Linked DNA regions of Rhinolophus ferrumequinum. The protein of the gene in region 1 interacts with the protein of each later gene in a pairwise test. Links are inferred from orthologs where the notes say so. Each region holds a gene or a part of one and is shown in the gene's direction. Other genes may lie near its edges. The genes, in order: SH2D4A, CDR2, DBNL and NUTM1.

What was found.
Region 2: the proteins of SH2D4A (region 1) and CDR2 interact in binary tests that used the Homo sapiens proteins (3 or more experiments, as listed by UniProt). The two-hybrid records come from large-scale screens. The link is inferred for Rhinolophus ferrumequinum from reciprocal best matches to the Homo sapiens genes SH2D4A and CDR2.
Region 3: the proteins of SH2D4A (region 1) and DBNL interact in binary tests that used the Homo sapiens proteins (3 or more experiments, as listed by UniProt). The two-hybrid records come from large-scale screens. The link is inferred for Rhinolophus ferrumequinum from reciprocal best matches to the Homo sapiens genes SH2D4A and DBNL.
Region 4: the proteins of SH2D4A (region 1) and NUTM1 interact in binary tests that used the Homo sapiens proteins (3 or more experiments, as listed by UniProt). The two-hybrid records come from large-scale screens. The link is inferred for Rhinolophus ferrumequinum from reciprocal best matches to the Homo sapiens genes SH2D4A and NUTM1.

Annotation. Positions count from the first base shown.
Region 1 is NC_046287.1:57,283,448-57,290,484, forward strand, and holds the start of SH2D4A (SH2 domain-containing protein 4A), read left to right. Parts: upstream 1-4,018; 5' UTR 4,019-4,151; intron 4,152-4,471; 5' UTR 4,472-4,541; intron 4,542-7,037. UniProt on the Homo sapiens protein: Inhibits estrogen-induced cell proliferation by competing with PLCG for binding to ESR1, blocking the effect of estrogen on PLCG and repressing estrogen-induced proliferation. May play a role in T-cell development and function.
Region 2 is NW_022680357.1:16,828,300-16,836,170, reverse strand, and holds the start of CDR2 (cerebellar degeneration-related protein 2), read left to right. Parts: upstream 1-4,852; 5' UTR 4,853-5,155; coding exon 5,156-5,231; intron 5,232-6,948; exon of another isoform or gene 6,949-7,311; intron 7,312-7,439; exon of another isoform or gene 7,440-7,610; intron 7,611-7,871.
Region 3 is NC_046303.1:48,980-56,080, forward strand, and holds the start of DBNL (drebrin-like protein), read left to right. Parts: upstream 1-4,099; 5' UTR 4,100-4,169; coding exon 4,170-4,252; intron 4,253-7,101. UniProt on the Homo sapiens protein: Adapter protein that binds F-actin and DNM1, and thereby plays a role in receptor-mediated endocytosis.
Region 4 is NC_046289.1:70,959,851-70,967,365, forward strand, and holds the start of NUTM1 (NUT family member 1), read left to right. Parts: upstream 1-4,512; 5' UTR 4,513-4,527; coding exon 4,528-4,543; intron 4,544-6,247; coding exon 6,248-6,953; intron 6,954-7,515. Other genes in the region: NOP10 (H/ACA ribonucleoprotein complex subunit 3), read right to left, coding at 2,159-2,299, 2,598-2,651. UniProt on the Homo sapiens protein: Plays a role in the regulation of proliferation. Regulates TERT expression by modulating SP1 binding to TERT promoter binding sites.

The DNA of each region.
Region 1 (7,037 bases):
ACTATAACTGAAGGAAATGGTTCAGTGGGGAGGGGAGGAGTTCTAGGGGGCGGAAGTAAAGCCACCTCCAGGAAAGACAAGGAAGTGACAAAGAACACCTGAAGCCATGTGGTGTGGGCAGGGAATCTTTGGGCCACAGAGGGAAGTGCCCTCTTCAACTAGAAGGCCAGAGGGAACATCTGAGTTTCATAACTCAGTTATGAAAGTTTTCAGCACACATGGGATTTATAGATGATGTAATACAGAATTGTACACCTGAAATCTATGTAACTTTACCAACAATTGTCACCCCAATAAACTTTAATTTAAAAAAAAGAAAGTTTTCAGGTAAACTTTAAAAGTAAAACTTTAAAAGTAAAAGGAAGGGGGGAACGTAATTTGGTGGTTACCAGAGCGTAAGGGGGTTGGGGGGTGGGGGATGAGGGTGAGGGGGATCAAATGTATGGTGATGGAAGGGGAGCTGACTCTGGGTGGTGAACACACAGTGTGATTTATGGATGATGTGATACAGAATTGCACAACTGAAATCTATGTAATTCTACTAACAATTGTCACTCCAATAAATTAAAAATAAATTAAAAAAAAATAATAAAAAAAAATAAAAAAATAAATAAAAAAAAAAAGTAAAAGGAAGGAAAGTAGCAAATCTTAGATATATTGGGCAGCCATAGTGAGCCAAACACTGTCATCTCATGCATTACATTTAATTCCCACCCGATTAAATGATAGTCTGGGTTTGGTGGAACATCTATTCCTGGACAAGGTTATGGGAGTTACTTCAAGACCAGAACCAAGAAGATGAACATCTAGTTTCATGTTTATTTTAGTAACGTCTAGGGGCTGCTATTACTATGCCTTCAAAATTTCCCATAACCAATTAACTTTGTTTCCACACACTTAGTGGTTCCCAACCTTGGCCATACATTAGAACCTCCTAGGATGCTTTGAAAAAATGTTGGTGTCTGTGCTCCATCCTATTCCAATCAAATAAGAACCTCTTGGGGAAAGGGGCAAAGGGACAAACATTAAATCTTCCTAGATTATTTTAATACGCACTTGAGAACTACTTCTGTGCTCACTGGCGGTAAACACTTACAAAACTAAAATAAATTTGTGTACTTTTTGCAAAGATTGCACGTAAGAGAGAAGTTAGGAAATCAAAACCTGATTCTGAATCTGGTAACAAGGAAGAGATGAGATTTTGGTTTTATTAGCGTTAGGAGGCCTACTCAAAGCTGCCCCTGGGAATATCCAAGGAATGCCAGAATACTAGAAAGAGCTTGCTTCTGTTCCTTTCTCAGAGCTTTGATGGGTAAAAAAGTATTGGCTACCACAGGCTCTTCACAGATGTCCCATGTCACTTAAGGTAGGGGTTGCCCAATTCTATCCACAAGCCGCGGGTCAGCAGTTCCTATGGGCTATAGGCTGCTTTAACACTGCATTCCAGAAACACAAAAATACGAGCGACGTCTTCTCAGCAACTCAGACCATGGATTTTGAGGAAACAATTCCATAAAAGTAATTCAAGGGAAAACATCACGGATTAGAGTAATCTAATTAATTCAAAGATGAATGTAAAGACCAATAATTTATCTTGATATTTGTGAAGATGAAAAAAATAAAAGCCTGTAGGGAGTCACAAAGAAATGAAAATAGCTCAAAATCAATTCTAACTGCTGGCACAAAAGTGAAAACATCGAAGACTTTCAGTAAATGTTTTTTTATGAATGATGACTTGACAGATTTATTTTGAAATTTGATCAATTTTTAATAAAGTTGAAATGTTTAGTCTTTTTCTTTCACATCTACTTCATATTCACTGTGGAACAAATATATAACATAACTCTTTAAGAATTAAAAAAATGTGGTTGGGGTTTCTGATGCTGAAGATAAAATATGGCAAGAAAAATATTATTTGTGTTTATCCTATTTTCTTTTATAAGAAAAAAATCCGAAGGTAACTTTCATTTTCTGTAGGACCTGAATACAAATCAACCTTATAAAAAGTAAAATGACAACTTAAAAAAATTAGTATGTAGCATATAGTATATAGAGATTTAGCCTTTCTCTTGCAATGCTGGCTCTGGATGGGTATTCGGACACCCCATGAACACATGTACTGGTGACACCCATCATACATGACACGCATCATACATGGCCAGTGGCCAGCCAGCAGTAGATACTCAGCACCTGTCCCTACCAAGGCTTGGTTGCCCCGACCTCACATTCTATCAGGCGTGTTGTTGCCACTATGTGAAGGCAGCAATCCTCCTCACAATGCATCCTAGACCACGGAGTGGGGAAAGGTTATCTACTGAGAGCACTGGGCCAAAAGGAGTGAAAGCTATCAGGGCCTCATAAGGAGTAACAGAGCCGCTTGATGATTTTTAAAGCAACACAAAACATTTTAATGTCTACTTTTGAAATTAAGGAAAAAATACATTTTCTGTTTCAGATTATGCCAATTGAAAGAGGAAATGCCAGGAGATGAAAAAGGGAACAAAAAGGGAAGGTGGTAGTGGAGAGGGGAGACAAGTGAAGAGGATGCAGAAAGAATTACAGAAACAAGAGGAAAAGAAGGGAGATATTTACAGATAGTGGAAAGAAGGATGGGAAGGAAACATGAGAGGAAAGGAAAGAGATACTGGGCTCCAAGTCGAGTGAACGATTGTACTATGCGTGTACAGTCTGAATTCATTTGGGCTGTTAACAGCCATTCAACTACCATGCACTGCCTACCTACTGCATTGGTGTTGGAATGTATCCCCCTCAGATAAGGGGGGACTGCTGTACTGGGGGGTGAGGATCACTGAGGCTGACTTGGAGCTTAGGTAACAGAAGAGGCAAAATCCATAACATAAGTATAAAGTGATAACTTGAAATTACAGTATCTGATGTGAAATAATATAAGCTAATATGTTTTAACACTTATTGCCTCCAGGAACTGTTATGAGCATTTCACATGTATTATCTCATTTAACCCTCACAACAAATTAATGAAGTAGGCACTGCTATTATCCAGAGGGGGAAACCAAAGAACAGAGAGACTAGTAGCTGTTATAGGGACTTGTCAGGACATGGAAAAAGACTGAGTGTGGAGAAAGGACACTGGCTGTTATCAGCGTCCTTTGGAATTTTTACTGGCTGATGAACCACGCTTTATAGTTTTTCAACTGTTCACTCCACGAAGTGTTAGAATTCATTTTCAGCTGGCTAACCAGGGGCAGATGACACTCCAGCCAAAAAAACACCCCACAGGTGATCCATTTGACAAGCAGTGGGAACCAAACCAAAACCAGAAATTCTCCCGATAGGATCCCTAGATTGGTTCCTAAACAGCTAGATTTCTACGATTGAGCTTTGCCCCCAAGGCTCTTTCTAACAGCTTGGGCAGCCCAACTTGAGTGTCTTCTGAAGTTTGGAGAGGCTAGGAATGAGAACATTTCATTTTTGAACAGAGCAAGTCAGGCTCCTGAATTTATAGGGAGGCTATGGAGAGGAGGACTGAATGCTCAATGTTCATTACATCTCTTCTCAACCCGGGCGATCTGGGATTCACCAAATCAAGTTGTTTTTCTCCAAATCAAGCTGTTTCTCTCCACACATTCTGAATGTTCCTCTTCAATGCGACACGCCCTTCAGTGTCTCTACTCTGCTTCTTCTCCACTTTTCCAAGACTTCCTTTTCCTATCTTCAGTCAACTTCTTCCTTCATGCACCACCCCAACCTGTTCTTGCTGCAATTTACAAGATTCTTGACCTTCTTAACCCTTCCTCCAGATTTCTTTGATTTTCTTTCCCTGACGCTTTTGTTTTCAGTCTCCATCTTTCCAGCCTTTCTCCTCCTTGATCCCGTCCTACAAAGCCACACCGGTACTGGTAAGTACCTGTGCCTGAGAGTTTGATCATTCACTTAATGGCAACAAAAGAAAAAGAAAAAAAAAAGTAAGCTCCAAGAGACGAAGGAGCAGAACCTGAGAGGTGAGCAGAGTTGGCCCGCGGGACTCAGTGTAACTGAGAAGGGCCTGCCCGCCTCCGCAGGCTCCACCTTGCAAGAAACCTTGAGCTCTGCGGTGGAGATGGGGTAGGGCCGCTGATATTAATAAGTGCCACAGGACCCGAGATGGCAGGACGAGCCATCGCAGACTGCAGGTGGTTGTTTATTTTGGGAGGGGTGGGGAAGGCTGGCCTGCGACCACCGCCCCTTATGCCAGGGTGGTTCCAGGACAGCAGGCCTGGGATGCAGCAGGCCGCCGGGCCCCGCCGCCGCCCGGCCCTGGAGCGTGTCCAGGGGCTCGGGTGGGGCCGCGAGCACCCAGTCAGTCACCCCGGCATGTGGGCCGCGGGTGGGGCGGAGCGGGCGGGCCGGGGCTGAGGGACGCTGTTTGCCAACATTTCACCGGAGTGTTTGTCCAGCCAGCCTGTGCGGCTCACGGGCGCCTCTCCCCGTTCCTCCTTCCCTTCCCCGACAGCTTGGGCGGCCCAACTGGACGTGGCGGGTGCGCGGGTCGCCTTGGCAGGCGAGCCCAGGGCCCTTCACAGGTATGTGCCAGGGTGGAGAGGGAGGCCGGGAAGGGGAGGCCCGGAGAAGATTTCCTTTTTTTTGGGGGGGGGGGCGGGGGAGGCGGGGGTCCCCGAGGGGTAGAGTGGAGGATGCGGGGCTGGGGGAGGCGGGCGGCGAGGCCTGGGTCCCCACGGCCCGCGCCCCTCCCCCGACCCCTCGGCCGCGCCCCGAGCAGGCTCAGGTGCGAGGCTGGGCGGCCGGTGTCCGGTGTCTGGTGTCCGGTGTCTGGAGCCGCCGGCAAGTGATCGATGGCACGGGAGGGCCGGGGGCTTACCGTGACGGTAAGAGGGAGCTCCGAGGGGGACGGCCGCAGGTACACGAGAGGCCTAGGGTCAGTTCTGGGGCTGCGGGCGGGGCTCCAGGTCCCCGAGGGGCGTGTGCGCGCAGGTCAGGCGAGGTTCCGCCCCGGAGGGAGCCGGGGCGGCCGGGTGGTGGCCGCGTGGGAGGGTCTGGGCCGGTCTACACTTTCTGGACTCTTGTCGAATAACCCCCGGCGCCCCGCGTCTCCCCCAGCTGCCCTGGCCTCGCGCGGCCCCGCGACGGCGCCCCAAGCCGTGGCGCGGCGGCGACTGCCCTGCTGACGAGCATACGCGCACTTCTGGGTAGCGCCCTGGGGCCTCCTTCGCCCCAGACCTTCCAGGAGAGTCCGGGGAAACGGCTTCAGCGCGCCAGCACCGAGGGTGCCCGGCGGGGTTGGGAAGCCGAGGGGGAGCCCTGCTTCAGACTCAGAGGGTGACCCCCAGTCAGCTCGGTACCGATGACCTACCTTCTCAAGGGGGCACCCCGGCCGGCGCCTGCCCTCCGTTTTCCCGCTGGCGCCCCAAAGGGCTGGGCGTGGAGACGACGGGACAAATTACAGAATTTTTCAGTATTCTCAGAGTTGTCTTTCCTTACCCAAGAGTCACAGGGAAGAAGCAAGCACGGCACCTTTCTCTAAACTTAGTCTCCTCACCTCCTAAAAGGCTTTTATTTGATTGCCTGTTTAATAGAAACGACTCAGATACAATATTTTTGAAGTGAATGAATAAGTGGAAGCATATGTGGGCATAGATTTGGCATGTGAGTGGAATTTTCTAGATAAATCCGTGTGTACAGTAATTCAACTTTCTGAAGAATGGTACATATTTACAAAACTTACCAAATTGTTCTCACCTCTGGTAATTCACTTTATCCTCAAAAATGGCCCCTTTGCTGACAAGATTAATAAGGTAAAATTGAGAAAGATAACTGAAAATCTGAAAACAGAGCTGACAGTACTAAAATAATTAAAATTCAAACTATATTTTAAACATTAAAGTTATACTGTCCAGATTACAATCTTTTTATGATTTAGGCTGTACCTCAGGTTGGGTTTTTATTTTTATTTTATTATTATTATTATTATTTTATCTCAGTCACTAAAAACACAATTTTTGTTTTGTAAAACAGGACTGTGAACGGTGTGAGTCAGGCCAAATCTGTGTTATCCTGGAAAACAGCTGATCCTACGACCCTTTAGAAATTTATTTTTGGAATAAATAGCAGATGTGGGCTTGTGGCTTGTCATTTCTCTCTTAAGAAAAGTGCTGTAGAAGAAAACCAGTTAGCTGAGCTTTTTCCTTTTATTGGATCTTGAATAACTGGAAGTTTGCTGTACTCAATATGTTAGTGGAAAGTCATTAGAATTTGAATCAGTATCAGCAATGATTGTCCTGTCAGGGAGTGAAAGTGAGAAAAACAATGATTGATTTTCTCATTTCTATTTCCTCTACCCTGGCTTCAGTTGTCTCCGTAACTTCACATAGATTATCTGGCATAGTCCTCAAATTATAAAGATTCACAATGCAGGCCCTCATTTCACAGATGAGGAAACTGAGTTCAGAAAAGTGAAGTAACAGCCAAAAGTCACACAGCTCATGAGAACAAAGCTGGGAGTCCGGGCTGGGGTCCCTTGCTGGTTGTCCTGTGAGCTCCCTGTGCTGTGTTTGAGTTTTCCATCTCATAGCGTAGAGGAGGAAAGAGTTCATTCACACCAGTAGGAGTCAACAGGCTTAGAATGCATGCATATTATTCAGCAGCCTGACCACCACAGTTGTCAGCTGAGTCCCCAAGTATTCTAGGACACAGGGAAGCCAGTGTCTTTCCCTCAAGATTCGCTAGTTAACTTTAATGCTAAAAATCCATGTTTGCTACAAAAGGCAAATAAAACATTAAAACCATGAAAACTCTTGAGCATCACAGAGGTGCTGTGGAACTCTTCACACTTGTGGCATTTGTGCTACTCCTAGTGGTTATGTGAATGGGGAAATGGAGAAAAAAGTGAGCAAACAACATCCACACCTGGGCCAGTAGGACAGTCAGTTCCTTGCTGTCCTTCCCATATGGGGTCTTTTCAACACCTGGACTCCCCTAAACTTAATCTACAATTACCGGGATGAGGCTTCTGCCAGAGAGGCATACTGTGTCATGCACCTTCAGTTAAGCATTTGCATTGC
Region 2 (7,871 bases), on another chromosome or scaffold:
CTTGATGTTTACTGAGTGTGAAGCAACCAAAGGTCATCCGTGGGGGTAGAAAAGCTCATTGCGCTACGGACCAGCAGGGGGCGCACCTGCGGATACAGGAATAATAACTACAGCTGACACCACGGGAAAAGCCAGCGCGCTCAGTTTGTGTTTAGCATCCTGGCACCTGTGTTTGCATGAATTCTTTCACCACCTCCTTAAAACAATCCTAAGGAGCTGGCACTATCATTATCCCCACTCTACAAATGAGGAAGAGAGCCGGGGTGGGAGCCAAGGCGGATGGAAAGCACCCCGAGTTGGTGCTCTCAGGGGTTCCCCACCAGGCACACCGGGCCACGCCACAGCAGAGTGGTGGCCTGGGCACACACTACGGCACAAGGTTACGTAATTTCGTCAGGAAAGGTTAAAATATCAGTGTTTGCTACCCAAGGCCATGAACTGAGTGATAGTTTGTGAATACCACGGGATTTCCCGAGACACAGAATATCTTAATAATGAGGCTGCTTGTTCCACGTAAGTGAATTTCCCGAATCACCAAGCTTAGCCTTTAAACTCTAAAGCTTTTATGCGTTAAGTGGCAATCTCTTACAAATCTCCTTGCCCTCCCACAGAGGATCTTGGACGTGGCTAACCTTTTCTTAACACTTAATTCTTCAGCTGTGTGAAGAATCGGCTCTTGGGAAAATCACAACAATGCACAACTGTGAAAGAGAGAAACACTGTCTCAGGTGAAAGGACAGGTAAGGGCTCACCCCACTGGGCGTGGTGAAAAGCCACTTCTGAAATCTTGTACAGATGCAGAAAACGCTCCACGCAGTAGAAGCGGAAGACAGAATTTAGCATTTTAGTCCCTAATGTTATTGTAGAATATGCCCAAGAATGGGATTGGTACTTAAAAGTGGCATTTTCCATGCAGAGGAATTCTTCTTCCTTTTGTTTAAAAAAAAAAAAAAAAAGGAAAATGGTTAAAATTCACTGTTTCCATGCGATGGGTGGCAAAATTCCACTGGACACTAGTTAATTTTAGTTAAATGAGTCCAAATCTCCTCGCTGTGAATATGTAATGATTTAACACTTTACTTTCCTATCTACTCACTCAACACTTTTTGAGATGTTGCCGGGAACTCTAATTTCATAGAGTATGACCGTACGTGAATATATTTTTACTATTTCTTCTAACTTATAAACATGAGATTTATCCAAGAGTTTGGGCACGCTTAACTCGAGGCCAGGGAGATGCACTTATGGCATTATTACCCTCCCTACCTGGGAGAGTGCGCTAGAAAAAAGAACAATGAGGTGACATCCTTTAGCTAAAGCCAAAGAGAAGGAATTGAAGCAAACCCCTCCTGTTAGTATTATAGTATTACATACTTGCATTGGAAGAGTCAGTCTTTTTTTTCTCCTGACAGACTATGTAACTTTGGCCCAAGGGACATACCTAAAATGGACGTAGAAAAAACCCATTTTGATCCTCACTTGATGTAAACGTCCCTCTTAAATCTGGCCTACTGTCTTACCCTTTCAGTGACTTGATTTACCACAGTGGAAAACAGGAAAGGGTTAGCCAAGCTAGAGGTAGGTATAGATTCATCTTCCTTTTAATCTTGATGATAGTTTTAAGATAACGCCATGATTTTCCTGTTTTATCCGGCCGTACTGGAATATTCGGCCAGGTCTCCACAATCTCACTGAATCAGAAAACACAAATATTCAGCTACCTTGAGAGACGTAACTTGCCTAAATGATGCTTGAGAATTAAGCTGACACTGCCGTCTGTATTGCCCAATTTCTTAGGGAAGGAAGGGCACATGAGAGATCAAATTAAGTCCCTGAGCTTCATTTTGCATTGGGAGGATCCAAGAATGATTCCAATTCTATAGGAAGTGGGGCCCTAGAATTGTAAAAGGGGTTGCTAAACCCCTATGCAGACCAAGTATTGTCTGCAGACTGAACACAGAATGTTTTGCCCATGTGTACTTGGATTCTTATAATGTTTGCAGATACTGCTGTAATGAGGGAATACAAATCTGAATGTTTGTGGCTTTTTTTGTCATTATGCTCAAAGCACTTGAAAAATAGAAGTATTATCGTGTGGAAGGCAGCCAACAATTCTCAAATTTGAAAACGCGGGGAACTACTGGTGAAACCCTCACCCTCAAGAGTCATTTTTGGCATACGTGAGATGCAGATTGAGGCTAGAGGTCACTGGGTTACTAAGAGAGCTCAAAACAAGGGAGTCAGAAACACCAGAAGCCAAGATACACATTTAGCCCACCAAAATCTGGACACTTCTTTTCCTTTATTTCAGGCGTGTTAAAACAAGAAGCATGTGCCACGCCTTCTGAATTGCTCTACCATTAAGTCAGAAGGCAGCTATTTATAAAGTCAGAATTTTGCAAAAGGTCAGAAGTTTGCTGAGTTGAGAGCAAATTTTTCAAAAAGAATTTGAGTTAAGCAGGCATCCTGTCTGAAACATATGAATATAAGGTTTTTAAAACATTAAGAAAACATTTGTTTACATACCGGGGATGCCAAAAAAATGTATAAATGTGGACACTGGTCAACGTGGTTCAAGCAGTAGTTTGCTGTCATCAGAAGTGTCTGGACGCTGATGGGAACCACTTTGAGCACCTCTTGCAATTGCAGAAGTCAAACGTGACTTGTATTCTTTTGTTATCGGTATATATTATAATTTTAATAGTTTTCTTAAAATGTATATACATTTTTTTGGCATCCTCTGTATATTGAGAGGAGGAAGCGAACTTTTCCTTATTTCTATCTGCAAAAGAGCTCTCAGTATTTTGCTTTAGATTACTGTCATCATAGTAAATACTTATTTCAGTAAGTGTCACACTGAAAATCACCACTTAAAATTTCTTTAAAAGCCACCACTATTATCTAAAGTCTCTCCTTACACAATTTTAGTATAGCAACAAAACACCCAAGAACCAGAATATTACATCTTTACAACTCGGAACGAAGGACTTCTGGTTCCTTTTTACCACAAACTGTTTTATACAGAGGAGTTTAAAAGTACCCAAATGGTGTCACGATTAGGCTGAGCCAGTGAATTGTTAAACAAAAGCCCAAAGCCTCCTTTTAGAATCAACTTGGGTTGTTCTTCACTGGCCTACTACTAAACCAAATGCTATTAATGTTGCTAAAGAACCTGCTTTGATAACTTCCAAACTATGCCTACTTAGATTCTAAAAGAATGCCAGAGACTCCTCCAAGGTAAGGCTTTCAGCACTGAAAGCTAACATCTCTTTTTCGATGCAATTTTGTTTTTTTTCCAGGGGAAAAAACCTCAAGTTTCCCCAAATAGTGTCCTTAAAAAGAACCCACTTCAAATATATGGTGATGGAAGGAGAACTGACTGCGTGGTGAACACAAAATGGGATTTATAGATGATGTAATACAGAATTGTACACCTGAAATCTATGTAACTTTACTAACAATTGTCACCCCAATAAACTTTAATTAAAAAAAAAAAAAGAACCCACTAATACCGAAAGGCATAAAGCCTGGCTTTTTATTCTGTGCCCTTTTAAATTATCAATGACTTTAATTCTCCAGATCACTCTCTCTGAAGGAAAATATAAAAGAACGTTTCAGTACACTTTCCCATTTGATTTGGAGTCCAAATGAGCTATGTGCCATGGAGAAAAATGCCAGCATTTTCAATCTTGCGCATCAGTGACCAGGGAAGCCAAGTCTCCTGAAGGTCAAATGCATGACGCTCAACCTTTCAGCTTCCGCAAATCACCATCAGCAAATCCTAAATCCAATATCCTCGCTTTCCAAAAAGCTCTGTCTGTGGTGATTTACTTTGAAATTAAGACGGTTTGAAGTTATTTCCTTTTGACTCGGGACCGATACCTGTATCAGGATATGGACAAGCAGGCCATTGGGGCTTTACACTGAACCAAGCTATCTTCGTTTTTAGCCCAGCAATAAAACGTGGATGACTAACATTTTGCCTTTCAGTACACCAGCATTCAGCAGAAAAGAATTTGTGAGTTTACCATTCCTTTTTCTTTTTTATATTCCTCCCACATTTGTTGGCTGGCATTCTACTCTGAGAGAGAGGACTGCATTCGCTTCCCTCCAGGTACAAGGTCATGACCCTAGAGGCATAACTGGTGGTCCATGGACATTTCAAAACTCGCACGCAAAACTGCTCGCAATGTGTTTCTAAGGAGATAGCTTCAACTGCACCCCTTCCCGCTCGCAAGTTCCCCAGTGGGTCTGGAGCCCGCTGTTTTGGGGGAGTTGAGTGCAATTCCCTGCGGGTTGGAGGTGAGAAGGGCGCAGAGGTCAAGGAGAAAACGGCTGGCGGTCCCCACGGCCCGACCAACCCTTAATTTCCGCGCATCAACGAGAGGGCCCCGGGGGGTCCAAAGACCAGAAAGGGTCACAGGGCCGCGCGCCTCGGGCTCCCGGCACCCTTCGCGCCCCGGCCTGCACGAGGGACGCCCAGCGACACCAGCCCAGGCCCGCAGGCCGGACTCCCACCCTCACGCCCACACAACCTGACCACGGGCTGGCTGTCCCCGCGGCCACACACCCACCACAGGCGCCGCGGAGGCCGCCACCTCCACACCCCGGCACTGGAGCGCGCTCCCAGAAGCCACCCAACGCAGGAGAGGGCGGGGCCTCCGGCCGCACCCCTTCCCTTTTCCCCGCCTTCTTTGTTTCCTCCGGAGTGGCCATTGGCTGCTTGCCCACGAGACCGGGCGAACCGCGGGCCTGCGGGAAGACGCCATTGGGCGACGTCGCTGCTCCTCGGCCGGCGACCCGCTCGCGATTGGCGGAGGCGCCGCCCGGGGTTTGAATGCAGCCCCCGTCGGGGAGCTTGCTGCCAAAGTGCCACGTTGGGTGCCGCTGCTGCGCGAGGAGCCGGCTCCGGGCGCCGGCCGGGGTGCTCGCGCCGGGTTGCCGGCCATCGGGGCCGTTGGGCCTCAGGACGCGAGTCAGAAAGCCGGTCCGCGGCAGCGGCGGTGCTCGGGCGGCTCTGGACCGGCGGCGTGGCGGCGCGTCCCGCCCGAGGGCGGCTCTGGCTGAGGACGGAGGAACCGGCGGGGAGCCCGGGGCAGCGGCCGAGGCGGGACGGCGGCAGCGGGCGCCGCTGCCCCCGGGAGAGCCGGCCGAGATGCTGGCGGAAAGCGTGGTGGAGGAGTTCGAGGTGGAGGAAGAGCCGTGGTACGACAATCGGGACCTCCAGCAAGGTGAGAGCGCGGGCGGCCGGCGGGCGGCCAGGCCCCGGAGGCTTCCGGCGGCGAACCTCTTAAAAAGTTGCTTGTGCTCGTGGCCCACGGATGCCAGGTGCGGGCGAAGCGCGGCGTCCACCTGGCGTGGGGACCCGCCGCACCTGCGCGTCCCGCCCCGGAGGCGGGCTCGGCGCGGGCCGAGGCTGCTGCGCAGGTATCGGCAGCATCACGCGTGCGGAGGGCTAGCTCTGCGCCCGCACGGGCTGCAGGGAGTCCTCCCCGCATTGCTCCGCGGCGCGGGTGGGAGTTGCTGCAGGTGGCCGGGGGAGCAGAGCGCTCCGGCAGGACCCGTGCCCAGCCCTGGGCCCACCTGTGATCCGCACAATAGCTCTGCGCGAGGTAGCTTTTGTTAACCCCACTTTCCGGAGGAGGAAAACGGAGGCCAGAGCGGCCAAGTGACTTCCCTTGCGTTAGGAGTGGGAGCGTGTTTGAACCCACACACTCAGAAGGAGGAACCACAGCCGCTACCCAAACCCTGGCTTTTCGTTACCAGCCGCTTTACAGCTTCTTCAGTTGGGTGTTCGACTGTTGGGCGGAAAAATTGCTTCTGCATCCTTCACCTGAGGCCCTGAAATGACTGAAGGGCATTTCTACCTCGACCCCTTCCTTCCCTTAGAAACAGGCACTCCTATCTGAACCTGCCTTGGATTTCTTGCTGATTGATGGTGTCTCTAGAGAAAATCGTTGGACAGTCCTCACTTTGCAGCCTCCCTATAAGGCCCCCCTTTACTGCACATGAGTAGCAGGAGCTTGAAATTGGGGAGCGCTTTTTGGGGGCCACTGACAGGCCCTTTAACACAGCTGCTCATTTAATCTCAACAACTATGGAGGTAGAAAGGAAGATACTGTTATTGGAGCTAGGATCCCACTTCAAACTCCAGAGCAAACTTTCTTAACCACTATTCTGAAGAATCCTCAGGAATTTTTTTTTCAGGCATCTTCCGTTTCTGCAATTCTGTGTACATCGACGTTTTCAACTCTCCACTTGCAGTGACAATTAACATTTCATCTAGTTGAATATTAAATGACCATGATGTTTGTTCATGCTAACCATTGAACTGGGGGGGCGGGAAGGAATGTAAACTTGAATTACTCATATTTAGAAAAGGGAAATAAAACAAGTACATCTTTTGGGGGAAGGTGATTTCTTAAATCAACATGCTGTGTGGACAGTCACTTAAACCAAAGTAGTTCACCATTACGCTTGCTTAAATGGTGTAAGCTACTTAGCAGCTGCAGTGCAGTATTTGCCATCACATTTTCCATGTCCACAAGACACATTTGTCTTACATTTTAACAAGCCTGTTTTCAGTTTGATATTTTCTCTAGGATTAATGTGAGAACCACTGTACAACTGCAACATTTCCTTATAACAAATTAAGCAGTTCGTATGGTCATAGCTAAATATTTTTCTTTCCTGCATTTAAGAAACATAGATCTGTACAGGCTTGTTTTGTTTTTGAATCTGGTGGAATCCTTGGCACATAACAGAAGCTTGATTTTAATATTTGTTGACCTGAACTGAAGCACTCGCAGAGGGTTACTGTTTTCATTGCTCTCTTCTATCAGGTCCCTCAGTCCACAAGGCATTTGCCCTGTGGGAAGTTGTTAGGAAGATTCATTTGTAATGTTTCAATCTACTGAGAAGCAAATGCAACTTGTTGGGGTTACTAACCTCTGGGCAAAAGGAAGTCATCAGGTGTTCAACTTCAATGAGATCTTAACGAACACGGGTCCAAACCTCCTTAATGCCAGTTTGCGTTTGGAATTTGTTCTGTGTTTCTTCTCAAAGGACTTTTACGTCCGTATCACGATGGACTTTGACATAACTCTCTATGTCATAACCAAGTGTGTCGGGTAGGAATAGACTGGAAATTCCACACAAACAGTTTGCATTTGGAATTTGTTCTGTGCTTCTTCTCAAAGGACTTTTCCATCCATATCACGATGGACTTAGACATAACGCTCTATGTCATAACCAAGTGTGTTGGGTAGGAATAGACAGGAAATTCCAACAATCATAACTTGTGAATAAGGCCTGTAAAAGAAAGAAGGATACAGTGTGAATAAAAGGATGATCTTTGTCCCAATTTTGTTAAATTGTGTCTTAAAGAACTCCTAAACTTCTAACGGATTTTAAAATTTGTTAATTTCTCAAATACTTACCAACTCTATGCCAGGTACAGATCCAGGCCCTGGGGCCACAGTCCCTACCCACAGATAGGACAGGCAGGATCCCACAGCAAAGTGAAATGGAGGGTCTAGGAATCTGTTGACGAGAGAGGCCTAGAGACGCTGCCTCCTGGTCTGTGCCCACCTCTGCCTGGCACATGGTAGGCCCTCAATAGATATTTGTTGCTGAATAAAGTTTGGGAGCAGCAGGTCTGCCCTCTTAAATATTTCGATAAGCAAATTAGTGGGATTTTATCAAGTGCAGACAGACATCTGTTCATTTTTAACATCCTCACAGGCATATGCCTCATTTTAGTGCATTTGCTTTGTTCTATTGCGCCTTAGAGGTGGTGGGCTTATTTTTGGTGGTGGTTTTTTGTTTTTAAATGGAAGGCAAGACTCTCCACCAGCAAAAAGATTACGACT
Region 3 (7,101 bases), on another chromosome or scaffold:
TATGACTCCCAAGAAGCTGAGTTTCCTGAGTCCAGTCAAAATTCCCCCATGCCTGCTCTCTGTTGGAGATGCATGGTAGAGAAAGTGAAATCAGTCCTTTGGGATTCCCCGCAGAAATTATCATTCACCCTTTGCAAGCCTGAGTGGTGATGTATACCTGCCAGACCCCTCAGATAGGCGTGCCCCAGCAGTCTGCTTGGACTCACCCCCTAGGAAACACATCTGCTTGTTACATTTTTCAGGGCTCAGGTCAGCCTGAAGAAAAGGTTTCTTAGGTTGAAAAGCTTATTTTAGGATGCACTCTGGTGTGGGCAGCTTCCCTATAACCCACATGAGCAGCTGTTACGTGTCCTAGGCAAGTCCCAGGTAGGCAGCTGGACAACAGATCCAAAAAGCCAGCTGTGGGGTGAGGTGGTTTTTTACTCTGTGGACCAGAGAAGGCAGGGAGACATAAGATCTTAAGCAATTGATCCACTGTGAACAAATGACTGTTAACTACACCCAGAAGCATCTGGGTTTTCTGCATAGCTCTGAGATCTTTATCCTTTGTCAGGCTCCCGGAAGAACCAGGAGTTCCAAGGATATGGCAAAGGGTCAAAATCTTACTAGAGATAAAATGCAAGAATGCAAACAGTCCAGGCCTAGCAGCTCACAGCTGAGCAGTATGTCAATGCTGAGAGAGCCCACAGCAGCTCACTCAGGTGCTCAGGGATGGGCATGTTTCTGTTTCTGACATTCAAGGTCTCTTTAAATGCCAGGGAGGTGCTGGTGGGACAGGTCTCCAGCACTCCTGGCCTGAGGTCTGTCCCTGGTATGCAAAGGGAGGCAGAGCAGAAGCCTCAAGGTCAACATGGGCCCCTAGTCTCTCCCACCCTGCCAGCCCCTCCCTCCTGCACCTCTTCTCACTGACCACACTCCTACCCTGGCAATGCTGGTAAGGGCTGGGCCTGGATTAGATCTAGTCCAGGAATGGAGGAATGGAGGACATGGCTGCCAGCACCCGTGAAGGTAGGAGCGCTCCCTTGCCTGCTGTCCTTTAGCAAGAGGAGGAAGGACTCGTCGTTCTCCGTCTTCAGTCTGTTGGTTTCATTGTTGCCACCACCCAGGTTTCTCCCATTGATAGATTTTATTAATAATAAAATCACAAAACCATAAAGAACCTGCAAAACCTATCAGACCAGATAGTGGATTCTTAATTTTCCTTAAAACGTCTCCTTCACCCCCCACCACGTCTCCCAGGACCCCACTCTCTACCCTCTGGGGGAAGTTGGCCATTTCTGCATTTAGTGTCAAAGGCACAGCAGTGCAGTCTTGGGAGTCACCCTGACCCAGAAGGGACTGACAGTCTGTCAACATCTTTGGGTTAAAATGTCAGCAAAGGTGCAGTGAACCTGTAGAATCATCTTGCCCATGACTCCGGCTCTTTGAACCTGTCCTGTCGGGGGTGCTGCAGGCCCCTGGCAGCAGGAAGCATGGCTGAGGCTTCAGGCAAGACCTGAGCAGACAGCCTCACGGCAAGAGCTGTGTGAGCAGCAAGAGTGCAGCTGAGCCTCTGTGAATTGTTAGGGTGGCAGGAACCAGCGCCCCTCCTCCTGGGAGCCACCTCAAACTGACTTCTGGCTGCCCCCCTCAGAGCCCAGCCCAAGGTCACTGCCTACTGGCAGGCCTACAACCCAGACCAGGGTCAGGGCTGTAGCCCTCTCACCTCCCTGCCATTGACTGACTGTTACTCTCTGTTCACATCATAACATGGACTCAACTATGTAAGTTTTTGTTTTTTTAACGTCTCAAGATACGAAGTATTTGTTTACTGCACACTACTTACCATGCAGCATAAACAAGATTTTAGGGCAGGAAAAACAGTAATTCCATTTCTCTAACTGTCTCTTAACTGTGGCCATGTGAGGCTGGAGCAGAGAGATGTAATCCTGGTGGTTTTAAGAAAATGATTTTTCTGCTAATTGACACTTCTGTTGATGAGGATTTTGAATAGCTATCATTTTTTACTGATTGCTATGGTCTGAATGACTGTGACCCACCCCAAAATTTCCTATATTTCAATCTTACCCCCAAGGTGATAATATTAGGAGGTGGGGCCTTCGGGAAGTGACTAGCTTATAAAGGTGGTGCCTCATGAATGGCATTTGTACACTTTTAAGAGAGACCCCAGAGAGCTCCTTTGCCCCTTCCACCACGTAAGGACACAGCAAAAAGATGGCCATCTATAAACTAAGAAGAAGGCCCTCACCAGACACAGAATCTACTGGTGCCATGATGGACTTCCAGCCTCCAGGACTGTGAGAAATTCCTGTTGTTTATAAGCCGCCCGCTCTAGTATTTGGTGATAACAGCCCGAACAGACTGAAGTACTGGTCTTGCTGTTCTTGTCAGACAGTTCTTTTTCTTAATGCCATTGGTTCCCTCTATCCTGTGGGCTCCAGAGGGAGCCTATCAGCAAGATCTTCCCTCCACACTTGGACCCAGGTGTATTTAGGACACGGTCAAGTACCCTCAAAATGTGGAGGACACACATTCAGGGCTCTGGTTTTTTGCCCTGAATCTGCCATCTAATCTACAAGGAGAGCATCAGGAAGTAAAGCAGATCTGAGTTTATCCACATGCAAGTAAAGAGGCTGTGTGAATGGCAGAGAAGTTAGGGAGAAGAGAGAGGAGTCCCAGGAATGACCTCTGGAGACATCTCTATCAAACTGAGGAACAGCCGAGCAAAAAGAGAAGGACGCTGAAAGGAGACAAAGTCAAAAGCAGGAGTGGGAGGGAGGGAGGGGGCGTAGAGATGGTCCACACGTGGCAGTCAGAGGGCTCTTTCCAATCACGTGCTCTCTAAAGCTCCCCAGAGATTCTGCTACACCTAGAATAAAACCCAAAGCCCTTCCCCACCCACAGGGTCCTACAGGATCTAGCCTCCGCCCCGGCTCCTTCCCTCTCCTCCTCGTGCTCCCACCTCAGAGCCCCAACACATCTCGTTCCCTCTGCCTGGAGCACTTCTGCCCAAGCTTCCTCAGCTGCCCCCAGCCCCACATTCACTCTCTGCTCCAGTGTGACCCTCCTCAGAAAGGCCTTCCCTAGCCTGTCAGGCCGACAGACTCGCGGGCTAGAACAGGAAGCGGAATCCTGGCGTCCCCAACTCCCCACCAGGGACCATCCTCACAGCCTTGTCAGCGGAGCCTGGGTCTGCCTGCGGCTCCCTCAGCAGTGTGCACGGACCTGGTCACCACTGACCTCGTCTGCTTCCAGCACAGAGATCGGACTGTGGCCCGCACAGCCTGATTCAGGCAAGATGGGCTCTCCCCAAGTTGACTGAATGTTGAAAAGTCCTCCTAGACTTCTTAAGGGTCCAGGGACCCCAGGCTCGCGACTGGCAGCCAAGTGGACAGAGGAAACTGGTCACTAGCTGTTTAAATAGGCACATTCCCAGAGACAGAAGAGCACTGGAAGAGGAGCCAAGGAGAAGGCAGAACAGTGAGGCTGGCTGAGGGCTGCAGCCAAGTCCTCCACGCCTCAGAGGACCAGCAATCAGAAGACGGAGGGCGGCGCGAACGGGGTTCTGTAGTTTAGGGAGGTGTGAGTTCCCCAGGGCAGGAAAGGGAGTTGTGAGCGGCCTGGCCCCTGGCCCCCATTTTCCCTCGGGGAGGTCACGGCCGCAGGGACATCTGTGCACAAAGGAACTGGCCTCCTTCCGGGCAGGACCTGCCAAGAACCAGCGGGGAAGGCCGGTGAGGGCGAGGAAGCACAACAGCCTCTTGAGTTCGGTTTGTGGCGGTGTGGTCGTCACTTAGCCTTCGTTCCCATCCATGTCCTCGTTAACTTGTGCTTGCTTCCTTCATAGCTCCGACTTCCTGGAAGAGTCCGGGTGGAGGGAGGCTCTCATGCATCCAAGTTCTCAATAAGCGCATTCGCTGTGAGGAGACTTAGAAGACGACAGGCACAGCGCTCCGCGCAGCAGCCAACGGGCTGGGCCCGCGAGGGCCCTGCGCACACGGCGAGCGCCCGCCGCCTCCTCGCAGCCCTCAACGCGGCCCTGGCGCTCCGCTCACCGCGGCGCCCTCTCGCAGTGCTTCCGCTTCCGGCGTCGGGGCGGGGCTTCCGGCCGTCGGGGGCGGGGTGGGCCCGGAAGCGGCGGCGGCGGCGCGGGGACCGAGGAGCTGGCCATGGCTGCGAACCTGAGCCGGAACGGGCCGGCACTGCAGGAGGCCTACGTGCGGGTGGTCACCGAGAAGTCCCCGACCAACTGGTGGGCGCCGAGGCGGGCCGGGGCCGTGGGCGGGCCGGACCGGGGGGAGCCTGGGGGCGCGGCTGTGCCCCACGCCTGGTGGTTCGGAGCCGCACTCCGGAGGTGCTGTCCCCCACCCTTGTCACCCCGTCCCCCGCCGTGCGTGAGTCCCCGGGCCCTCCCCGTCCCTCCGGCCGCCGGCCTCGGCCTGTTGGACTCCGTGCCGGGCTGCGCTTGGTGGCTTCGCCAGCTTCTCCTTTTCTGCCCGGGGACTTCACAGCCCTCCCTGAGAAAGAGGAAGCCACGCCCGGCTCCTTGCCAACGCTGTGTTCAGGGATGGCCTCTGAGAGCGGTGTGGCAGCCCGGCTGGCACTGGGAGGCTTGCCCCGGAGGCGTTACACAGGGAGCTCGGGGGGTTGGGTCCCTGGTTCTCTGTGAATGCGGATTTCAGAACCTCCCTTTCTCCAACAATGCTCCTCCCTGTGCCTCAGCCATGAGGAGATGAATGAAACAACGATGATGGCCACCCTCTTTCTTCCACCTCCCTATACCGTCCTCTGCTAAGCTGGCAACATTCAGGTCTCCTCCTGGGGTTCATGGGGTTTGGTAATACTGGAAGCCCGGATCTGCAAGCTCTGCGATGGCCCTGGACAGCCACGCAGAGGGTCAGCTCTCTTCTGCACGCGGTGGTAGCTGTGGATGGTAATTCTCTGTCACCGTCCCGTTTGCTTCGTTTTCACTTCCAGTTCTAAGAAATGCTGAGTTTGGTGGACTAAGATGACCAGCTTTTGGGAGCAGGGCCCACTGGGTGGGGCTGCTACTGGGACTGGTCTCTACTTGTCAATGCTGCTGCTTTCCCATCTCTGCCTTCCCTGGTGCCCAGCGCGGACTGGCTTTCACACAGTGTACTACTGGCCACTGAGCATGTCATAGCCTTTCCTGTCCGTCAGCCCCAGGCCTTTTGGGGAGGAGCTGCCTGGGGCGAAGTGGAGGTGGGCGCCCTGTGTGGGACGTGTGCACAGTTTTCCAGGGGAGACAAGCAGCACGGTTTCTGTTTGGAAAGCATCTCTTCTAAATAGGGAAAGGTGTCTAGTAACTAGTACTGTTTCTTTGCCTTCTCTTCTTCATAATCCTATAGGAAGTTCGCCCACCTGTCTAGGTACGGTTATTTCCGTAAGGAGACTTGGGGGATGTCAGCCCCCTACCTCTCTGTCTCCTGTCCTCAGAGGACCTTTGCTGGTGTTCCAAACCCTGGGGAAAGTGCCTCCACCTGAGTGCCCAGTTCTCACACCCACATGAGGCCACCTGCTTTGGAACCCAGAAGCGTGTTTGCCCCTCTGCAGTCCAGCCCAGTTAGGGTTCTGCTCCTTTACGTGTAATCCTTTCTGACTTACCTAGAAGACTCCTGGGCGTACTAATGGGCCTTCCTTCCATGTCTCTCTGTCCTCAGTCTTCTCAGGCCTCCCTTGGGCTTCTAACCAGAGCTGCCTGCTACCCCCGAGGTCTGCAGCTGATCTGCCCCATCCCCTCTCTGCCACTCAGGGTGCCGAGCCTCCTCACCTACCCCCAGGCTCCCATGGCACTTGGGGGCTGAACCACTGAGCAGCTTGAAGTCCTGGCCTCTGTCTTCATTGTCAACAGATATGGTGTGGCAGGTCCCCACTCATTAGCTGAAAAACATCTAGACCACGTCACTTCCCTGATTATAACTGCAGGGGCTTTGGCTGTACCTTACATAAAGCCCCGACGCCTCGCCCCGGCTGACACCCTGCACACCAGCTCCTGACCTCCACTCCTGCCGCCCTGCCGCTCACCACACTGACCACACCTGCTTACCACCACTGGCCTCCTCCCCTTCCTCACCTTGCAAGCCGGTTTCTCCTCAGAGCCCTTGTGCGTGGCTGCTTCCTCTGCCTGGAGCGCCCTTCCACCTCATCCCACGGGGCTCCCCAAACCTCAGTTCTCAGCCCCGTGGCTGCCCTCTTGGAGGGCCCTTCCTCAATTCCCGGCTCCCTGTTTGGCTTCTGCCAGACAGCCTCACCTGTCGCCTTTCTGCCTTTACCAGAAGGGGTGGGGTGGGCACTGTCCCTAGTGCAGGACTGTAATGTGTGGTGGGAGCTCAGGTGAAGGCCGGACTCGGCGCAAAAGGAGATAGAGGATATTGGAGCAGGGGTCTGCGGTGCGGGAGGCCGTGGAAGACTTCACATGCAGAGTGGGTGGCATCAGGCTGGGCTCGAAGGCCGGTGGGGTGGGCAGCCGCCACCACGTCCGCTCTGCGTCCTGCTCTTTCTCTTAGTTCTCCCAGTTCTCCCTCCCCACGTGGTAGTAGCAGCACATGTGTCTTCTTCCTGCTCCTGCTCCAGCACCTGACAGCACGTTCGTGTTGACGTGTGTGCTGCTTTGTCTTGCGATAGGAAGTAAGTCCCATTGGCAGGGTTTCTTGGGGATTATTCGTAGCTGCAGCCCCACTGCCACGTGTTTTGGGAAGGAATGACCAAGTTATAAGGTGCTCAGCACCCATGCTCGTGCCCTGCACAGGCCAGCGCTCCATTTCTTTCCATGTTGATGTGAAAGAAGAGCGGAACTGGATTGAAAGTGGAAATGAGCCTCTGAACTGGAACATCTGAGAAAGTGGCTGAGACGACCCAGGGAGAAGGGGCAGGAAGTCAGATGGTTAGGTGGCAGGCATGGAGCATGGCTCTGACTAGCTGCGGGGTCCCTTTGTGGTGGAAGAGCTGGGCCGAGTGGCCATCTCGATCCCCTGCTGCTTGTCTGGGAGGATGACGGGCCAGGACACCCACCACCAGAGTGCATGCTGACAGGCTAGACCCACTTTTCCCTTTGACTTGCTGTGCGGTGGTCAGCCCACA
Region 4 (7,515 bases), on another chromosome or scaffold:
CCTGAGGGATGTTTTTTTCCTCAGGCAGGCCTGTTCATTCAAATCTCAAAGACTTTCCCCTTACAAAGAAATGCTGGCTTTCTACAACCAATTTTGCTTCATACACAGAGTGTTTTCATTAACTTATATATACTACCTAATACCTAATAGTATAACTCTTAAGACTCCCATTTCTGAGCACGTCTCAAATGTTAATACCTAGGGTACCAAGGAAAAATCCTTGGTATATTCAAACCAGTTTGCCTTTCTTTTCAAATTCAATTCAGAATATTTCCATGTTAGTCTTCTCATTTCAGTCTACACAGAATGTAGCATGGAACAAAGCTAATCTTTCTTTGGGGAGGAGGAGTAAATTATAAGGACAGAATTACTGTCAACATTAAAAAATACTGGTAGCAGATTTGATTAATTGATTTTGGTGCTTAAGAAACTTCCAGAGCAGATCCTTTTTCTTTTTCTTCTGAATTTTTATGAGTTTGACTCAAAACTGACAACAATGCCAGGAAACATCTGCTCAGCAGCTGCTTTTTCTAGCCATTTGCAGAATTTTTAATATTTCTTCAATCATTATCCCCTTAATGGGGCAAGAAAAGTCTTTAAAATCCCTCAGATCCAATGCTAAGAACCTGTAAGTGACTAGGCTAAGAAATAAAAAATTATTGACAGGAAACAAATATTTTGTTTCACCATTCCCATATGTTTAAGTAAATAATTGACTTGAAAATCATGTCTTCTATTAACTGTGACCCAAGTTTAGATATTTTTTCTTTTTTTCTCAGCAGTCAACAACTATCCTGAACTTCTCTGCTGGGATGGTCAGACATCAGATTCCAAGAGAAACATATCTATCCCTTTGCAGGGCCAGTCTGGATAAATCAAATTTGTGCTGAGATAAGTTACATCTGCTTCTGGAGTCTAGAATCTTGATGCAGTAGAAAAAGAAGATTGTAAAATTAGAACACAATCTCCACAAAGCAATTCTTAAATCTGTGGCATTAAGCAAACATTCAAATCCAATGTCAAAAGCCATGAATGAGATGATTGGGGACATGAGCGGATTAACTTGACAAGGTGAGGTAAAAGCAAGCTAGCATTTCTTGAATGCCAGCCAGTATACAATATTTTGCCTCATCATCCCTCTAATATAAAGCAATTGAATTAAAAATTTATGGTTGCCCTTTGACAGAAGCTCAAATCCTTAAAAATCTCCCAGGTTTCTTTTGTTATTAACCACCAACGATAGCTTGAAAAACAAAATCTCCACTTCAATCTCTCATACCTCATCTTTTAAATTCAGATCCACGTAGAGTTCCACATAGCAGCTAGCTCCCAGAGAGAATATAAAGTTAGGTGTATGTAAGACAATTCCTTGATGGAGAGAATTAAAAGACTGCGACTATTTCCAGAGGAGCAGTAAATATGCACAGAGGCATTCATATTCATAATGGTGGAACAACACTGTGGATATATATCCGCCACTGAACCCAATCTGTTATAGAGTTGGAAGAGAACTTAGAAATGAAGAAAAAATTGGGACTAAATAGGTTAAGTGACTTTCTTAAAGTTATGCAGAGAGGAGCGCATCTTGGTCTCCTGACTTCCAATTCACTGCTTTCCCTCTACAATATGGTTGCTATTATTTTCAAGCAACTCTTCCATTTTAAGTCAAAATGTCACTTCAAGGGGAATGATAACAGGGGTATTTTTCTGTAAATGCTGACAATTATGTAAATCTTTCTCAACCTTTCTTTCCCTTCCCCAACACCCTCCTGTCACTAATACAGCACTACTCCTGCTACAGCAACGACTTAGGATTTTCTTCCAAGTATTGTTGTGCCCCTGGGTACACTTCCCTCCCATCTCTCTTCGTTTTTTGTTTTTTTAAACCACGTCCTTCTTCCCACAACATACAAAATAAGAGCTCTTTCAAATCATTTTAATAACCAGACAGTATGTCAAAACAGGAAAAGAAGATTCAAACTTGTTCCCTTTAAGGTGTATGCTACCATGATTGCCTCGCACAAACATGATCAAAGGTAATGTTGACACCAGATTCCAAAAAGAAAGGGTGGTAACAAGGCATCAAGGCTCACAGATTGCAGCGCTTGGGTTCGGAAAGTCTCAGAGGGGTAGCAGGCGGCATGAAATTAAGGGACCCTCAGAGGACAGGGCGCGGTTGCTGGGTCATCAGCACCTTGAAACGTTTCTTGATGGTGATTCGGTGTCGAGAGTATTTGTCGTCTGGGGAGAACCGAGCAGGATGGGCCGAGCAGGTCTGTTGTCCCGTGGGGTCAAACTTCTGCTCCAGGAAGAGAGAACATAATCTCAGTACAGGTGTGGTGAGAAAACTCAATCACTGGCGTCATAAAGGAGATGGAGGCTGGGATGGGGAGGGGGACGCGCGGAAAATGATCATAAGGAAGACAGAAGACGCGACGGTCAAAGTAGCACTCATACACTCCAGCTACTACCTTACCACGCCTGGCTTCTGGGCTTTCCAACTCCCCCCACTCAGCTAGGCAACTCCGCGGCTGGTCTCAACCGCTCCACCCACCTCCACTTTTCGCCATGCCTATTTACATGTTTCCTTTTCTTACCTTCAGGGTATAGACCCGCTCTCCCTGTTCATTGAGGTAATACTGGAGAAACATGACCACGATGAAGACAGAAGCTCGAATTCCGTCAGCAGCTCAGTCTAACAGTCTCTCGTGTTTGCCAACTTCCTTCCTGTGTAGCCGGAAGTGTCTCTCTCAAGGTATGCTGGGAAATGTAGTTCATTTTAGGCTTTTTTCCAGCTGGGCAGAAGGGGGCGCACTAGTGCAGGACTTGGCCCAGTTGCAATCCAGTTGCAACCTTGTAGACTTTGGTGCCCAGTTGCAACTTTGTAGGCCTTCTAAAACACATGGAGGGTGCCCACTGTGTGCCAGACACTGCTAGGCGTTAGAGGGGGATAGGGATGGATATGAGTTGAACATTAGTGAATAGAATCCTGTCTTTATCGCAAGATGCACACCCATATCAGGGGCAGTGGATTTATAGTGCGTTGAGAAACAAAGAGCTCCAGGATTCAGAGCCCCTTTACCTTATGGAAGAGGGAAGGTTTTTCTTCCCTCCCCTCTTTTTCTATCCGGTTCTCCGGCCCTATTTCAAAATATTGGCGGTAAAGAGTGCATGATGGGTATTTAATATTCTGCACAGCAAAGAGAGCGTGAAGTTGTTTTATGAAACTGGTGAAGTATGTTTTAGTGATCGAACCAAGATTCAAACTCAGGTCTCTCTACCACAAACTCAGCGCTTATAGTGGTGAGTAGCTAATAATAGCATAATAAGATGTACCTTCTAGGGGTTATTTCGAATGTTTTAAAGAACGTGTAGAAATTCTCCTTATAGGACTCTAGTTTAAAGAAATGAAAACTGGAGCCCAGGTAATATTACAAAGATGACCTTTGCAGTATTATTTATAATGTCAAAAACATTGGAATATACATTAATGTTATAACCAGGAAACCTGAAAAAAAAATTTTTTTAAAGAAACGTAAAACGTAATGATAATACGTGTTTACTTGCAGTGCATAAAATATCTCTGCAAGGATTCACAGGAACATAATATTGGTTTCTTTGGGAACAAAGAACTTGGTTCCAGGGGAAAAGAGTGGGAGAGGGAGACTCGCTGTACACTGTTTTGTATAGTTTTACTTTAGACCCATGCTAATGTAGTTCCCACTTTAAAAATTAAAATTATTTAATAAAATTTTTAAACAAAAATAATTTAACAAACAAAAGGACTTTTTGGCCTTGAAATTTTAGGTTGAATGCCTGTCTTTGATAGAATGGGGCTTTTCAACCAAGGGTTAAGGCTAAACCTTCTGTGGACTGCAGAGCTGATGGTGGACTATTTGGGAACTGCAGGACAGCTTTCCAAGGAAATGATATGCATACAGCAACCAAACACCCTGGGTCTTCCCAGACAATCCTAATTTCAAGCACTCCGTTCTCCAGATCCTTAAGTACACAGACTGTGTGTTCTGAATTTGGTTCAGAAAATACAGCGAACATTGAATTAAATCAAGGGTCTGCCACAACCTTCTATTAATAGGAAGTCAGTTACAGAACTGGGTGGGATTTAAGGGCACAAAACTAAATATACTGGTGAAGAATTGTGTAGGGAACGGAGATGTACTAATAAAACTATAATGTTGGGAATCTGAAAATTTACAAATTGCCCTAAAGAGGTAGACAACAATTGTGTTGCCAAACTCTGGTTTGGTGGGAATTCCTGGTTACTGCCAATTTACCAGAGCCTGCTGTCGAATATCTCCCTACCCCAGCCCCACATTCCCCTATCCCCTCCCCCACTGCAGACTTCCTTGAGTTCTAGATTCCAGTTCTGTTTTGATCTGATCTTTATCCTCTCCTCCTTGGATCCCTGTGTATCTACTGGAGCCAGGTTACTCTCTGGGTCCTCAACCTGACTGTCTCATTCTGGAGGCTTCCAGACAGCCACAGCTAGTGTCCAAACCTGAGAGGATGACTTCAGATGGAGGTAAGTCTGCAGGTGATGCAGAGGGTACCCCACCCCCTGCCACATCCTTGGGGATTCAAATTTGACACTTTACCTGGGGACAATAGGGGTCTTTGTACTGACCTAGAGGGACATGAGAATATAGATGCTACCAAAAAAACAATCACACTTGGAGAGGCTGGGAAATAAGTTTGTGCCATGAAGACTGGGGGTTGGGAAAAAAAAGACTGGGGGTTGGGGAAGTAAGAGGGCCCTCTGGGATGCAGATCTAAGTACCTCAGAGGAAAGTGCTGAGTATAGAGAAGGGATGGCAGTTAGCAACTTGCTTCTCTGGAAGAGGGACCCCGTTCAACATGTGTTTGTGTGGCAGGGGCAGTGGTATGTGTGGCACAGAGAGGGTTCAAGTGGAAGTCCCAGGATTCTGGGTCTTCTTTTGGTAATTGGAGCTTGTTCTAGAATTTTCCCCTGAGAGAATTGTGCTGGGGTCACTCTCGATGTATTGGGGGGTCAGGGTGGGGTGGAGGTCTTAGCTGGAGAAGCTGTTCAGTGGGGTTATCTGTTGCCAAGTCTGTGGAGAAATGCCTTCCTGATAGCTAGACTGGAAGGTACTATAAGTGCCTCTGCTCAGAGCCTCATGGCTCCTTCCAGCCCCAGAGGTGGCTTCTCTTTCAGTTCAGGGAGGAGTTCTCCTTGATTCCCCCAGAGCTAGAGGAGGTGGATCACTCCAGCCAGAATGAGAGCTGGGGCTTCCCTGAGAAGCTCTCAGTTTTTCTATTTTTTTGTGAGGCTCACACCTTCAGTCCTATTTCATTGCATCCGAACTTCATGGAATACTCCTGGCCCTCTGCTCTGTTGTCGAGATGACACATTTGCTCATATTCCGTGTCTCTTTCATGGTCAGGGAGCGGAAGCTGAGTGTTGTTAGTTTGCCAGGGGAATAGTCTTTATAAGAGGGGGAGGAGAGTAGCATGAAATTAGGCAGATGATCTATTATTATTATAAAAAGTCCTAGGAGACACATGTCCTGATTAAGTAACGTTTTATGTATTTATCCTCGGTCTCTGACAAGAGCCCACATAAGCTCCTTCTTAGCAGGTACTGTTTCAGACTTCATTGTCAGTGCCTTGTTCTTGGTGGATCCTATATTTCTGATAGGGAATCCAAGCTGGAGGACCACAGATAGTCTGCAATGCCAAATTTTAACGTGTCCACCAGCTACTTAAAGCTCTGGAAACCTCCCTCCCCACACAGCCCTCCCCTTGTCCATATCCTGGCCCTTATCTCTAGTCATTTTTAGCTATTATATAACAAAATTTCTGAGAACCAAACATCTGATCCACACACCCTCTCCTGGGAACAGCACTTCTGTGAGTGGTGGCAAGGACCACAGACCAGCTGGGAGCAGAGTTCAGGTGGTTTGAATGGGTTTGGAATTTGTATGACTATATATTCCAGATGTACCTGTATCCTCTGTGGGACGTGTTATGGAGTATGAGCTCATGGGTCCAAGAGTCACTGCTACTTCTCTAGTGCAATGATTTCCAACCGGGAGTAAGGAACATCAAAATCACTTGCAAACTACAGACGTTCCCCTCCATATATACCCTTCCTTACCTGTTGAGAATCAGAGCTCTGATTTTTCAGTAACTGAAGTGCAACTCTGATAATGTAGCTTCTGGTCTGCTTTTCTCCTACTGCACTCCCTCTTTTTCTTTGTCTCAACAGCATCTCCATTGCCTGGACCAGATATGACCATGATACCTGGCACCGCCCTATCTCCCTTCATGGCACTTCCCTTTCCCCCACCTGCTCCTGGCCCACCAGACCAACCACCCTGGGAGCTGCCTGCACAGCCCCCTATGCCTTCAGCTTTCCCTCCAGGCAACTCTTTGATGCTCTCCGCTTTCCCTAGCCCAATGTTGGTGACAGAGGATGGGGGCCCTGGCCACAGTGGGGCTGGAGCTGGCAAAGTCATTGTCAAAATCAAGACAGAAGGGGGGCCAGCTGAGGCCTCTCAAACTCAGAACTTGATCCTTACTCAGACTGCCCTCAGTTGGATTGCCTCAGGTGCTCCCTCTGGGGGCCTCGAAGGTCCTCCTCCTCAGTTTGTGACAACTTCTAACATGAAGACCTTTCTAGCTACTAAGGCTGTTGGAGTGAGCCAGGAGGGCCTCCTAGGCCTTCCTGCTCAGACTCCACCGTCAGCTTCCCAACTGGCTCTCCCTGTGTGCCCGGAAAACGCTTGGCCTGTGCCACATGGGGCAACTGGAGGAGGTCTGCCAGCCACCCAATCCCAGCCCTCACTGGGTGACCTCTCCTGTACCTCCAAGGGTGTTTATGAGAACTTCCGACGCTGGCAGTGCTACAAAGCCTTGGCCCGGATGCACTTATCCCAGAGTCCTGATGCAGAAGCTCTTTCCTGCTTTCTTATGTAAGTGGGGAGACCTGAGATTAATTATCCTAGGGCTTTTCAATAAGGAGGGCTTTGGGATGGACAGAAGAGGTTACGCTATAGGAATATTCAAGGGCAGGTCATGAGGGTGATGGAGAGATGCTCTGAGTACCAAAAGCATGATGATGATGATGATGACGATAAGCCTTTTCAGTTTTTAGCAAGCCTTCAGTTGTGTGCTCTCAAGTGATGCTCACAACCCTGTGAGTTCAGGCAAGCATTTAGTCCTCATTTATAGATGAGAAGACTGAAGCTCAGAGAGGTTTCCTACCATACAGTGAGGAGCAGTGGTTGGAACTTGGGTCTTTGACACTAAGTGCCAGGTCCTCTCATTCTATTTTAACACCTTCGGACATTGAGTTGAGCCATTCTAACGGGCCAGGATAAGGTGTGACTCATTCCTGTGGGAGAGGATGGTGCGGGACCAGACAAAGGACCTTCTGTGCGTCACCTCCTCCACCGCTCCCTATTTTATTCAGGAGAATTCAAATCAAAATGGGGAGGTGGTAAAGCTTGCTGAGGTGAAGGGCCTAGGCAGCAC